Neodiprion lecontei: one gene and its partner. The protein of the gene in region 1 binds, or shares a complex with, the protein of each later gene. Links are inferred from orthologs where the notes say so. Each region holds a gene or a part of one and is shown in the gene's direction. Other genes may lie near its edges.

Region 1 (5,269 bases):
TTTTACACAAGGGACGTGCTCGCCATCGTGTGAAAATATTTGAAATTCAACAACATCGTATTGTAGATAATACGCTGCAGTATTTATATTGTGGTATAACCTGTACGAGAAAAGAAAACAAAACGTCCGATCCTGGATACAAAATTCCTTTTTTTCGCTTAGCTTGTAATAAATGTTTAAAATTTCCAATTTGTGTAAAATTATAATGCTTTGCCGAGATAAAGCGTGTGATCTATTGCAGTGAGTTTTCGCACGACTGTACAATATGCAAAAATCGGTGTTACCATTTATCGTTTTATCCGAGCCCCCCACCTATCCTGCGCTAGAATTCTTTTCACGCGCTGTATCGTTTGACGTGGGTGCGTGCCTCCGGATGCGGCAGCGACTCCGATCGGGCCTCGAGGCCCCCTCGAGGATTTTGCTGACGTAGACGATGACGTCACACCAGCGTGAGACCGTCGGGACATCATTGTCACAGCCGTACGCCTCGGCAATTCTGGGTAGACGTGATTAGAGAACCTCAAGTAAGAAAGGTAAAAAAAAAAAAAATTAACGTATCGAGATCACTGCGCCGGACTCTCCAATGACTTGCGGCTCTCCGTATACATGTATAAACGTATACGCAGTTATACCGAGGTAATAAAAATACAGAAATTTCGACCGTCAATGTAGGTACTCGTAAACAAGTTTTTGGAATAATTCTAACCAGCTAACGGACGTCGAGGAACCATGGGTAAACGAAGCCGACGGTTTTTGTGGTAAAGGTGAAGGACCAGAATGAAGGAGAGTCCACGTTTATGGTATACGTAAAGCGGGAGGCCTTTAAGGAGGCCTGTAATAAAGCTGGATAAACATCGAGAACAGTAATGGTTGGAAATACGTTGTATTATTGTGCCTATGCATATAAGGTGCAAGTTAGTTTGTCGGGATACACCGAGTCATTCTTCGCCTCCCCACCTCTCGCTTTCATACATGATTCATCGACGATGTACGCGACCACTTACGCGCAAGTTTTGTTATTCCAATACGATGTTTAAAATCCAGACGCGTTTTGCATACGCGATCACCTCTGTAATAGACTGCAAATGCAATAATGTATTAAGTGCCGCGATTCGCGAATCTGGGTTCACAATATTTTACACTAATTTTACACTTTCAATTTCACGGATTTATAATAGCGTATGACGTATGTTAATTAACATGACCTGTATAGATATATGGTTATACTCATTGATTAATTTTCGTTGAAATCAGAATGTGGGAAACAGTTGGCGGTTAACATTATGTACGTAAGCTCGTAATATTTGTAAAAGCTTATCAGATATATATTAAACAGCATTGAACGAAGAGCTCTACGACCTACCTAATAGTAGGTATTGTGATCGATCTCCGTACGATGAAATTATGCAGGACTAACGCTTGCCTAATATAAATATTATGGATAATATGTCTGATGTGTACGTCTTATACAGCAGCGTAAAGCACACAAGCTGCGTAGCCACTTACACGGACGATAATCATCTGTCGATCGACAACTTGCAATAAACTTATCTAATTTCTCCCCTTGGATGGATACGTATAACGCATGATGTGCAATGCATACGTATGTTGTACGTTGGTATAATACCTGCGTTTTATCGTGATTAGTAAGTGCAGGGTGAGTGCAGATGGAATACGCCGTGGCCGTTTGTGGCAAAACATCGCGTGCACCGAACTCAACCGGGCTTATGACAATATGTGTAACCTTCCGTAGGTAGTTCTTCGTCGAGCGTGCAGATGAGTTCGTCTAGAGGAAAAACAAGCACATCAATTAGTAGTGAGTAGCGACGTGACTGACTTGAGTTAAATACTCCTCGGCGATTAATTATATCCACGATGTTTACAACAACTCGTATATACATAATACATACAGGCATATGAAGAGTTATGCGTCGATGACCCTTGTACAACTTCACGCATCAAGGGAAATCGAAATAAAGTTGAAAAAACACTTGTGTGGGCGTATCATGGATATCGTCAAATAACAAAATTGATTTTCCAACGTTCTGCGAGATACCTCATCAACTTTTGGAAACTGGATACGTAAGGTAAACGTTTGAGAAAATTAAGTTGTATCAATTGGTATCTCACGAAAATTGTACAATCGACAATTCTGTGTAGACAATATTCAGAACTGTGTACATATAATTCGATACAAAATTCGATTTTCAAGCCAGATTTGGCGTGACTTAATTGTCGAATCGAACTTGTTACTCCGTGAATATAGACACAAAGTACAGTTTGTCGGAAAATCCGTGTTCATCGAGTGGCGCTGCTTTCGACGCGTCCAGCCCGCCGAACTTCGGCCGTTGAAACGATGTTTATGGTTTGCCGGTGCTTGTGAATTTTTATACGAAAAATCCATCGGCATCATGAAATTAGTGAGGTAAAAATTTGCCGATAATTAATCATTCCGTCGATCGAAGTTTTAGATTGCTATAAATTCGGATAGTTTTTTTTCTTAACTACCGTGTGATTGTAGATACTGATTTAAATCCCGTACCTAACCTGCCTCTATGAGTGATGTTGCAATTACGTTACGAACACCGTTAATGCAATGAGTGAAAAGACACTGGATTAATTGGGATATTTCGTGTTTCAGATTTTTGATGAAACTCAGCCATGAGACGGTTACGATAGAACTGAAAAATGGCACCCAAGTTCACGGAACTATCACAGGTTTGTAAACATAACCTATGCCATTTGACTTGACACAATCAAATCACAGTTGGAATAGCGTACAGAGCAGGCCGCTTCTCTTTTGTCTCCAAGTGAAATAGTTTTTGCAGATGCATGACAAAAATGTTTATTTTTAAGGTGTGGATGTGGCCATGAACACCCACTTGAAAACTGTGAAGATGACGATAAAGAACAGAGACCCTGTACAACTCGATACGTTGAGTTTGAGGGGAAACAACATTCGATACTACATTCTGCCTGATTCCCTTCCCTTGGAAACTCTGCTTATCGATGACACGCCCAAGGCTAAAGCAAAGAAGAAAGAAGCCGCACGAGGTCCTTATAGTCATTCAAGTTTTGCGGCCTTTATGATCAATTTTATTTATGTTTTAGTATTTTCTGTGACTAATCTTCCTTGATTCAATTTTCGACACATTCAATCCAGACTTTGCAATAGTATTCTAATACATATCGATGATTTCTAATCCTTGTTTTTCTGTACTAGGTGCGGCTCGTGGAAGAGGCCGTGGTGGACGTGGCGCTAGAGGTGGACGTGGAGGTCGTGGCAGAGGAAGAGGCAGGCGATAGTGTTTGAAATAGTTGATCCATTGATGATTTTTGAGAAACGTAACGAGGTGTTGTATTCTGCGATTTCTCTTCCCACGCACCTCGGTGAATTACACCACTGACCAACGTTTTATATTCTTAAACAAGTCTAATACCAATGCATTCTAGTTTAAGTTCGATAAAAACGTTGATATCTCACAGACATGAAGTTAGCCTGTAAGCCTTATCTGACGTAATAATAAAATGAAATTCTTTTTTTTTTTTTTTGTCAAAAATCAATCATCAAATCTTTTTTATACACAAAAGCATTTTCGTATTTTTAATTTAACGATATTCATTCATCTTTTGGCGTGTGTTGCAGACTAGGTAATTTAATGCTTAGCCAAGTTGTATGGAAATAGTGAATTTTATTTCATGATTACGTGATTATAGTATTACGCGATAGTATTGCAAATTTTCTATTACTATTCAAATAAAGAAACTAGCCGAATTTGACGTTACCGCGTCGTATATAAAAGTGTTGTGGATCGGCTTGCATTGATTAGTTATGAATTTTATAGTCTCCTGCGCAGCTAGCCCTCCTAAGAACGCCGACACCGAATGTAGTTCAGATCCGCCGTAACGGCAAAATTCATGGACGTAGTCATCCTTTGCCAATGGCCCACAACCCCACTCCATCAGCAATTTTGAAATACAGGCCTGAGTACACATACAAACGTAGAAATATGTTAGATATTATGAAAGCTTTGTTTCTATTGGTATGGTGGCCCTAAAAACAGATTTGAAAATTCCTGTGTTGTCGAGAATCAGAATTAAACGATTATAAAGAATATACTTGGATCTAATCCCAATTCTGTTCGCACACATCCCAAATGTGATAAGTTATCGCTAGTTGAAACATACTCTACTATTTACAAATTTTAACTTTGCTCTACGCTAGGCTTTGAAATAGTACCTTAAGTTTCACAATATCTGGTTCAACGTGATCGTCGAATTCGCCTGGATACGAATTGTATTCCACCTGGAATTTTTCGATCCCTCTGAGTACCACGTAGTACACCATCATACTTTCAGGATTTTCTAGACTTTGAGCTAAAAGAGTCAACATTATTTACATGAGCTATATACAGCTGAAAGTAAAATATGAATGAAATGAAAGTAAGGCGTACTCATTTCGCTGGCATCCACAGTTTTTGGATCATACTCATCCGCTATACAGGATCCCCTTTGAATGTAAATGTTAGAAGCATGTCTACAAAATAACTTGACATCTTTTTCTGTTATCGCATCCGAGGGGCGACCAATCTGTCTGAGCAAATGGACTGTTCTTCGCCAAACTGCTTCCGCATCTGCTGCGGCTTGTTTGTGATACCTGAAATTTATTATACATTGAGATGTCCGTTCGGCACTTACATTAAATTCACGTACACTCACACTTGTTGCAGGGATATATATTTTTCTGTATCTGCCGTCATGTCTGGTACAGCACCTTTGAGTGGCAATGAATTTGAACCATCATTCTCCATGAAGTCTTTTACAGCCTTGGCGATAATCCAAAAAGGTTTACTCTAAAATTTTCATCATTATGTTTTGTCCGAAATGTGTCGAAGTGCTCAAACAAAAAAGAAACGATACTACCTTGGCGGTAAGGTTTATACAGCAATCGTCATTCAGGACCTCCATGACGCTGGGAGGTACCTCGTAACGTCCAACGCTGGTATTAACAGCTTTGATTGCTTCCTCAAAGTTTTCCTCATCAATAGGATTATTGTGCTCATCTTTTCTAATACCACTCCTGATCATATCTCTTAGCTGCTGTTTCTCCTTATAATTTTTTGGTACATCCCCATTCTCAGATATCCACTTCTCAAGGTATTTGTACAGAATCACAACATATGGAACGTGAGTGTGATCCTTCAGGTCCAGTTCGTCCAAATTTATTGAATCAAAATGATTTTTCAATGTTTCAAACGGATTGTCCAAT
Region 2 (7,613 bases), about 30 Mb from region 1:
GTTAATTGTGTGCTTGTAATTCTTTACTTCCGCATTATTTACCTAAGTGTTTTTTGCCGCTGCTGGTAAATCTCAAAACTAGGTTCCTTAAGATTTAGCAGGGTCAACTCGTTCTCATTCCGCTCTCCTTCCCACACCTTCTGTAACTGCTGCCCATGGTAGTTCAACGCTTGCGCAACTAAGCGCGGCTCCATAGACTCCATAACTGATTCTCAGCCTTGTTGATAAAACCTATAAGACTGTAGTAGAAATAGGTCGAATTTTTTCTTCACCTAGCACCATATTCTTAAGGAAAAAATGTTCATTATAAGTAAGAACTGAAACTATCTCTAGTATTCATACTACTTCTGATAAAAACTACTTGAGAAGTATACGAATGATAAATCTATTGGCCATAATTAATAGTTCTTTGTTTGCCAAAGCGAATTCATCAAACTGGTACTAGTAGCCAAAGCTAGCAATTCCATGACACAAAGTTATACCAGCATCGAATGGTTTAGCTGCTGACTTTGGCTGTTAGTTTCAGCATCGTTAATGTAATATATATTCATTACTCACATTAAGCACAGATTTTTGAAACAATTTTTGAGCCAAAAAACATTGTAACAAGTTATTGTAAAAGCGAGCCCCACAGCTTAATTTTAGTTCTCAATGCTTAATTCTTGAATTTAACAATAGATGGAAATGAAGATAAGAATTGGGCGTACATAATATATACGTAATTATATGCTATGAATATTGTATATGTGTAAAACATGTATCATGTTCAGTGAAAGTTATTCCTAAAGGGTCTCAGATACGAGTTAAAATTGAAGTAATTGTGAGAATAGGAGTAATGATGCGTCAATCCATAATTTCGAATCAGTTCATTTGCAAGCCTATGTAGGATGAATGAATTATAAATGAATCAAACGAGTTTAATATCGATTTGTTGATAACAGCAAAATGGTCGTTTCGGTGAGTTTCAGGAACGACGCCATATCGCCTCATGCTGATACTACTTGATGCGGCAACGCGGACAAAAAAAAAAGAAACGGAAACAACCATACGAGATCTTTCACCGATGACTAAAATATCCGAAACATTGCGATTTTGTCTATTTCGTTTTGTTCATAATTAACGTGAAACTCACCTGATGATGAAATATCACTGTACCGGTAGATCAACACTGCGATTAAACCACGTACGCTAACGAGCCACCATTTTCATTGGTAGCGAACACATCCACTTGGTCCTCACACATATATACCTCACGTGCAGGCTCCAGTCGGCTGACTACTCGCGTCAAGCCGTGTGTCGGCCCATTTTGTTCACTTTGCAACTGCTAAATAAGGTGCGTTCCGAAACTAGCTGCAGCGTCAAAACTCCCTAGGACAGAGACAGAGCCGCCCACGAACTTGGCAGCACAAAAGAGATAAAAGATGGCTGACAACACTGGGAGCTAATTTCGGAACGCATCCGTTAATAGGTTTGTTCGTGCTAGCTACACTTTCTACACTTTCGTGGGGAGTGTACACTTGCGCGTTCGTTTTAGCGAACGTGACGTCGATGGCGCTGTTCGTTTTACAAATGTCACTAGACTTTCGTTACACTTTGGCCATGTTCGTAAATTGACTGCCAGTACTAAAAATTCTCTAGGACAGAGACAGAGCTATCCATGAACTCGGCAGCGCAAAAGAGATAAAAAATTGCTGATAGTACTGTCAGTCAATTTTCGAACACGGCCTTTGTGTACACTTTTTACACTCGGTCTAGACCAAGTGTAAAAGGTGTAAAAAGTGTAAATGGTTCAATTCGCATGAATGCTACAGGTTTTTCCACCACGTTAGTGAACTGTGATGCGATATATACCCTAAAACTCACGAGTGACAACAAACCCATAACCTCACTCCAAATCAGAACAAAGCAGTACAGTATTTTACTTCAAAAACAAGGTTCAATTTGATAACAGTGTACTTAAAACATAAGGTATGAAAGATTTCGTTAACAAATTCCAAAAATGCTTTATCTTATTTACTAATTTGTTGTATTAATAAGTGTTTCGAGGAAAAAAACGACTGTACGTAACGTGCGCCATTTTCTTGTCCCCACTTCTCTGCACCTTCTACACTATTGCGTTCGCGCTATTTTAGCTACACTCGAGAAGCGAACGTACACTCCCCAGCAATCCCTAGTACACTACCCTAGTTCTTTTTACACTTGTGAGTGTAGAGTGTAGCTAGCACGAACAAACCTAGTGTGTATAACTTGGATCAATTATGATCTGTGGTCTTGCTGCAGTAAACGTATTTGTCGCGTGGTATACATGGTTTTACCCCGTTCATTGGCATACGAGTTTATCGTAATACCGGCGCGGCTGGATCGACTAGAGCACGACTAGAGTGGTTCGAAACTACGCGCACAGCGCTCCGACCTGACATTTTGTACTACAAGTTTTTTGGGGTTAATGGTTCCATGTGTCTTGTGGCAATAATGAGCCTTGTGGTCCGAACTTACATATTTTTATTGATTTGAGTGCACTATAAACAGCAATTTTTTTTTTTAAATACAGAGAAATAAAATTCGCGCTGCTTAATGTCATAAATTTTTCAATCAATATTCTTATTCATAGTAATTATTGATGTGATAATTGGTAATAATTCATTATGTCTGAGAACACAATGAAAGCCAAACCTGACAAGAGGTGTTCGCCATCGATAAACAGTGACGATGAAACTGAACACGATAAACGTTCGAGGAGAAGTAAACGTAAGAACGATGGTTCAGACTATGAAGATAAGAGTGATCGTCACAGTAGGCGAAAGGAGAGAAGTGATTCTAAATACTACAGGAGCAACAACAGTAGCAGAAATGGCAGAGATAGAGACAGGAGACGACATAGGAATGACAAGGAACGAACTCGTCGAAGTGAAGACGACAGGCAAACAGCCACAGATGAGAATGATAGATCGTATCGAAAGGGTCATGACTCGAATGACAATGGTTCACTACGTAGATATTGGAGCGATCAGTACTGGAACAAGTATCCGACCAATAAACAAGAAAGAATAGGACAGCGTTTTTATGGCGGTCGTCACGAGGAGAGGAATGAATCACCCAAACGTCGCTACGACGATAAAGAAAATGATGAGGATGTCGCGTGTGCTGAAAAGAATCAGATCACGGTGGAAAATGAACGAGAAAAAATTACACCAGCGCAAAAGCGAACGGTGGATCTTCTGACATCGAAAACTGGTGGTGCTTACATTCCACCAGCCAAACTCCGCATGATGCAGGCTGAGATCACTGACAAATCGGGAGCTGCATACCAGCGGATATCTTGGGAAGCCTTGAAAAAGTCCATTCATGGATACATTAATAAAGTCAACACCAGCAATATCGGATTAATCACTAGAGAATTGTTACACGAGAACATTGTCAGAGGTCGAGGCCTGTTGGCGAGATCTATTATTCAGGCTCAAGCTGCCTCCCCTACTTTCACACCTATCTATGCAGCACTTACTGCTGTGATCAATTCAAAAGTACATGATTTATATTATTGATGTTGGTTTCCTTTTTTTAATATTATTCTGAAATGCTCACATCATTTCTTTTTCAGTTCCCTAATATTGGTGAATTGTTGCTCAAGCGTCTAGTCATACAGTTCAAGCGTGGATTTCGCCGTAATGATAAAGCTCAGTGCATTTCTTCGGCCACGTTTGTTGCCCATTTGGTCAACCAGCGTGTTGCCCATGAAATCTTAGCTTTGGAAATACTAACTTTACTAGTAGAGACGCCAACTGATGACTCCGTCGAAGTTGCCATCGCATTTTTGAAAGAATGTGGCATGAAACTCACAGAGGTTTCCAAGAAAGGGATCGAGGCAATATTTGAAATGCTTCGCAACATCTTACATGAAGGACAGCTGGATAAAAGAGTAGGTAGAAACACCTGAAATCATAAAACGTTGACATTAGTTTGGTTTCAATATTTTATGATCTATTAAGGATGTTCCATTTTACTTTAATTATGCTGCATAGTTTCTTAATTAAATTTCACCACTGACTTGAACATATTTCAGGTACAATATATGATAGAAGTTATATTCCAAATTAGAAAAGACGGATTTAAAGATCACGAGGCTGTGAATGAAGAGCTTGACCTTGTTGAAGAGGATAACCAGTTTACTCACCTTGTGACTTTGGACGAAGCAACTGACCCTCAAGATGTACTGAGTAAGACTTGCACAAATATACGGCTTGCATTGACTTCATAATTGTCGGCATAGCTATAACATGACATTTCAAAATGTGGCATCTATCAATTTTTTTTTCTCATAGACGTTTTCAAGTTCGATCCGGACTACATTGCAACAGAGGAAAAATATAAAGCATTGAGCAAAGAGATTCTTGATACTGACAGTAGCGGTTCAGATGGTTCTGATGGTGATGAAGAAGATAACTCCTCTGACGAGGAAGATAGTAATATCACAGGTAACTTGATTTTCAGATACATGTATTTGTGATGGAATTTGTAATTGTGGAGATGAAGGCGTAATTCCTTCCAAAATATAATATCAGTGACTATTTCCTACCTTATTAAAAGTCCCTCAAATTCTGTAATATTTGATATAATAAAGTAAAACGGATTCTTTCAGGAGAAGCAAAGGAAGATGTTATAGTCGACAACACTGAAACTAATTTAACAGCGTTGCGCAGAACGATTTATTTAACTATTCATTCTTCTCTCGACTTTGAGGAATGTGCGCACAAATTGATGAAGATGCAGCTGAAGCCTGGGCAAGAAATTGAACTATGTCACATGTTCCTGGACTGTTGCGCAGAGATGAGGACATATGAGAAATTCTTTGGTCTCTTAGCTGGGGTAAGTGCTTCTTAGCGGTTGCTCAATGTTTTGTGAAACATCTGTATTTTGATTGAATGACTTGCTTTTTCAGCGATTTTGCGCGATTAACAAAATCTACGTGACGCCGTTTGAACAAATTTTCATCGATTCGTACGATACAATACATCGTTTGGACACCAACAAACTACGTAACGTGTCCAAATTCTTTGCTCATTTGTTGTTCACTGATTCCATTTCTTGGGAGGTTCTATCTTGCATAAAATTAAATGAAGAAGATACTACCAGCTCTAGTCGTATCTTCATAAAAATTTTATTCCAAGAATTATCCGAGTATATGGGACTTTCAAAATTAAATCAGCGTGTGAAAGATGTGTAAGTAATGTCTTTATTAGATATTGATGTGTTGTACTTCTTCTATTTGAAACTGTTTTTTTGATTCAAAGGACTTTGCAAGGAGCCTTCGAGGGTTTATTTCCACGAGATGATCCAAAGAATACAAGATTTGCTATCAATTTTTTCACTTCCATTGGTCTGGGTGGTCTTACGTAAGTTATATTCATTTTTACTAATTGAAATTCCAACAATATTTTTCTATATGAATGCTGTAATTTCAGGGATGAATTACGAGAACACTTGAAATCGCGTCCGAAGCCAGCTGTAGTGCCAGAATTTGTTGAAGACAAAAAAGAGTCGTCTAGTTCCAGCAGTTCATCTTCATCTAGTTCCGAATCCTCGTCGAGTTCATCGTCGTCGTCATCATCATCCGAGACTGCAAGTACGAAATTTTTCATATTTCTAAATAATGATTACAATCGCAAAAATTGCGAATATGTATATTTTTAAAATTTTCCAACTTAAAATTGATTATTTGGGGGATTAGAATTTCATGCCAAAGTCGGTACCTGAAACTGCTAATTTTTTTTTCTGGAAAAACCAGTGGACCACTCGTTTTTTAGTAATTTACAAGTCAGGTAAAGAAATGAAATTTTTTTGTCATTTTTCGTAACTCTTCACTCTTGCTGTAAAAAAGGAAAGAAAAAAAATCTATATTTCCTAGGTTCTTCTGAATCTGACGACCATCGGAAAAAGAAATCTGCGAAAGAAAAAACCCAAAAAAAGAAGAAGAAAAACAAAACGCGAGTGACAAAAAAGAAACTAAAAAACAAATCAATCGTGAAAGATGTTTGGGATATAGAAACTGATAGAAACTGTATTAGCAGCACTCACGAGACAAATGAAGGGCGCAGGAATAGCGATAAAACGCCTAATGATAGATTGAGTCAATCAAAACGATCAACCAAACCAAATCGGCATGGAGAATGGGACAGGGAAAGTGACGATCGGACAAACACGCACAAGGACAAAAATAATAGGCATAGAAGGCATAAGGATTAGTGAATAATGACAGTAATTTTTATAATGTAACAAATAATGAATCACAATATCTCGTTGGCTGTATATTTCGCCTCTAACGCATCAACATACTGGGAATTTATTTGAACAGATATTCTCTATTATGAATAAAAAAAAAAATACCTTGACACTCCTGTTATTTAGTCGATTTCATGGGGTTAATAAACTTTGAATGAATTCAGTTGAATTCAATAAAGGTTAACCCCTCCGGAAATGATCACGTTTCAACTTCTGATTTGTCTCCAAAATCCCAAAATGCAAAAGTTTTAATACGCCTCAGGTGTATGGCACACTGAACGACCAAGAGGAGCATGAGTCCTGTTGATAAAGTCTGCTTGGAGGTTACTAACGATTGATGCAACATCTTGCTTGAACCACCTCATCGACTGCTTAACTTGACTACCCTCTTTATCGATTCTATTTTTCTTGCCATACTTGTAATTTTTATTGAATGGCTCAACATATCTGTCGTAAATAACAATTACATGTAAATCATTTAAAGCAAGGAAATCATAAACATATTCCATCTATTTAAAATATCAGTAACGCTATTTTTTGTGGCAATAAAATTCCAACAGAATGCTCACTTTCGATTGATTTGTTCAGAAACATCATAATTATTGTGACTTTTCCTGTAAAGTCGATGGCCAATGCGAGAAGCTAAAATAACTTCAGTCACAGTTTTTCGAGGATTTACCAATTCTGCTGCTGTACCATCTAAAATATTGTGACGCAAATGACTAAATTTTTTTTATTCTAATGTCAGAATTTCCAATAATATATGTAAATGATTTCGAATGCTTATGACTAAAGAAAGTTACTGGACATAGTGCGTTTTCCAAAAATTGTTGTAACAGGGTCAACGCCGTTTGGTAAATTTGATTTTTGGCCTGAAGTTTTACCAACTTCTTTTTTCCAGTAACTGTTCATAGCTGTATCTCTTAGCTCACAGATTAGCAATTGAAACGGTGTCCGTTTAGTCATTTCCAAACAGGTTTTTACCTTGATATAACGGATCAAAAGCTCAGAAAGTTTTCAAAATTCTATAACATATATCACCGATATCAGAGAAAAAGGTCGCTTGGACCAACGTGGTTGGTTTAAATAGAAAAGCTCTCATATCATCGGCGAAGAAGCTGAAGAACATAAATTGCCCTGGTACATACTCCAGTGTGAGTGCCGAGGTCGGCAGTACCAATCGGTAATTGATGATTGAAGCCATCGTCTTCTCTTTTATCAGTAATATGCAATTTAGATTTCAATGCATCAATACTGTCTTGGAGTTTGTAATCTTTAAAACACGTTTCCAATCCATCTTCCAAAATCACAGTTCCAGCCTACAGTAAATAAGTATT

The links.
Region 2: probable small nuclear ribonucleoprotein Sm D1 (region 1) and pre-mRNA-splicing factor CWC22 homolog share a complex: the UniProt entries of both Homo sapiens proteins name them as parts of the minor spliceosome. The link is inferred for Neodiprion lecontei from reciprocal best matches to the Homo sapiens genes SNRPD1 and CWC22.

Annotation. Positions count from the first base shown.
Region 1 is NC_060261.1:43,622,040-43,627,308, reverse strand, and holds probable small nuclear ribonucleoprotein Sm D1, read left to right. Parts: upstream 1-2,266; 5' UTR 2,267-2,411; coding exon 2,412-2,425; intron 2,426-2,641; coding exon 2,642-2,718; intron 2,719-2,856; coding exon 2,857-3,054; intron 3,055-3,223; coding exon 3,224-3,306; 3' UTR 3,307-3,753; coding exon of another isoform or gene 3,754-3,984; 3' UTR 3,985-4,115; downstream 4,116-5,269. Other genes in the region: NEDD8-activating enzyme E1 regulatory subunit, read right to left, coding at 3,754-3,984, 4,241-4,377, 4,455-4,657, 4,720-4,853, 4,924-5,269. UniProt on the Homo sapiens protein: Plays a role in pre-mRNA splicing as a core component of the spliceosomal U1, U2, U4 and U5 small nuclear ribonucleoproteins (snRNPs), the building blocks of the spliceosome.
Region 2 is NC_060261.1:13,514,714-13,522,326, forward strand, and holds pre-mRNA-splicing factor CWC22 homolog, read left to right. Parts: upstream 1-2,258; 5' UTR 2,259-2,645; coding exon 2,646-3,521; intron 3,522-3,598; coding exon 3,599-3,916; intron 3,917-4,060; coding exon 4,061-4,214; intron 4,215-4,319; coding exon 4,320-4,472; intron 4,473-4,636; coding exon 4,637-4,863; intron 4,864-4,936; coding exon 4,937-5,217; exon of another isoform or gene 5,218-5,288; coding exon 5,289-5,390; exon of another isoform or gene 5,391-5,459; coding exon 5,460-5,620; intron 5,621-5,747; exon of another isoform or gene 5,748-5,864; intron 5,865-5,902; coding exon 5,903-6,240; 3' UTR 6,241-6,507; downstream 6,508-7,613. Other genes in the region: tetratricopeptide repeat protein 14 homolog, read right to left, coding at 43-203; EF-hand domain-containing family member B-like, read right to left, coding at 6,525-6,723, 6,846-6,975, 7,080-7,260, 7,425-7,595. UniProt on the Homo sapiens protein: Required for pre-mRNA splicing as component of the spliceosome. As a component of the minor spliceosome, involved in the splicing of U12-type introns in pre-mRNAs. Promotes exon-junction complex (EJC) assembly.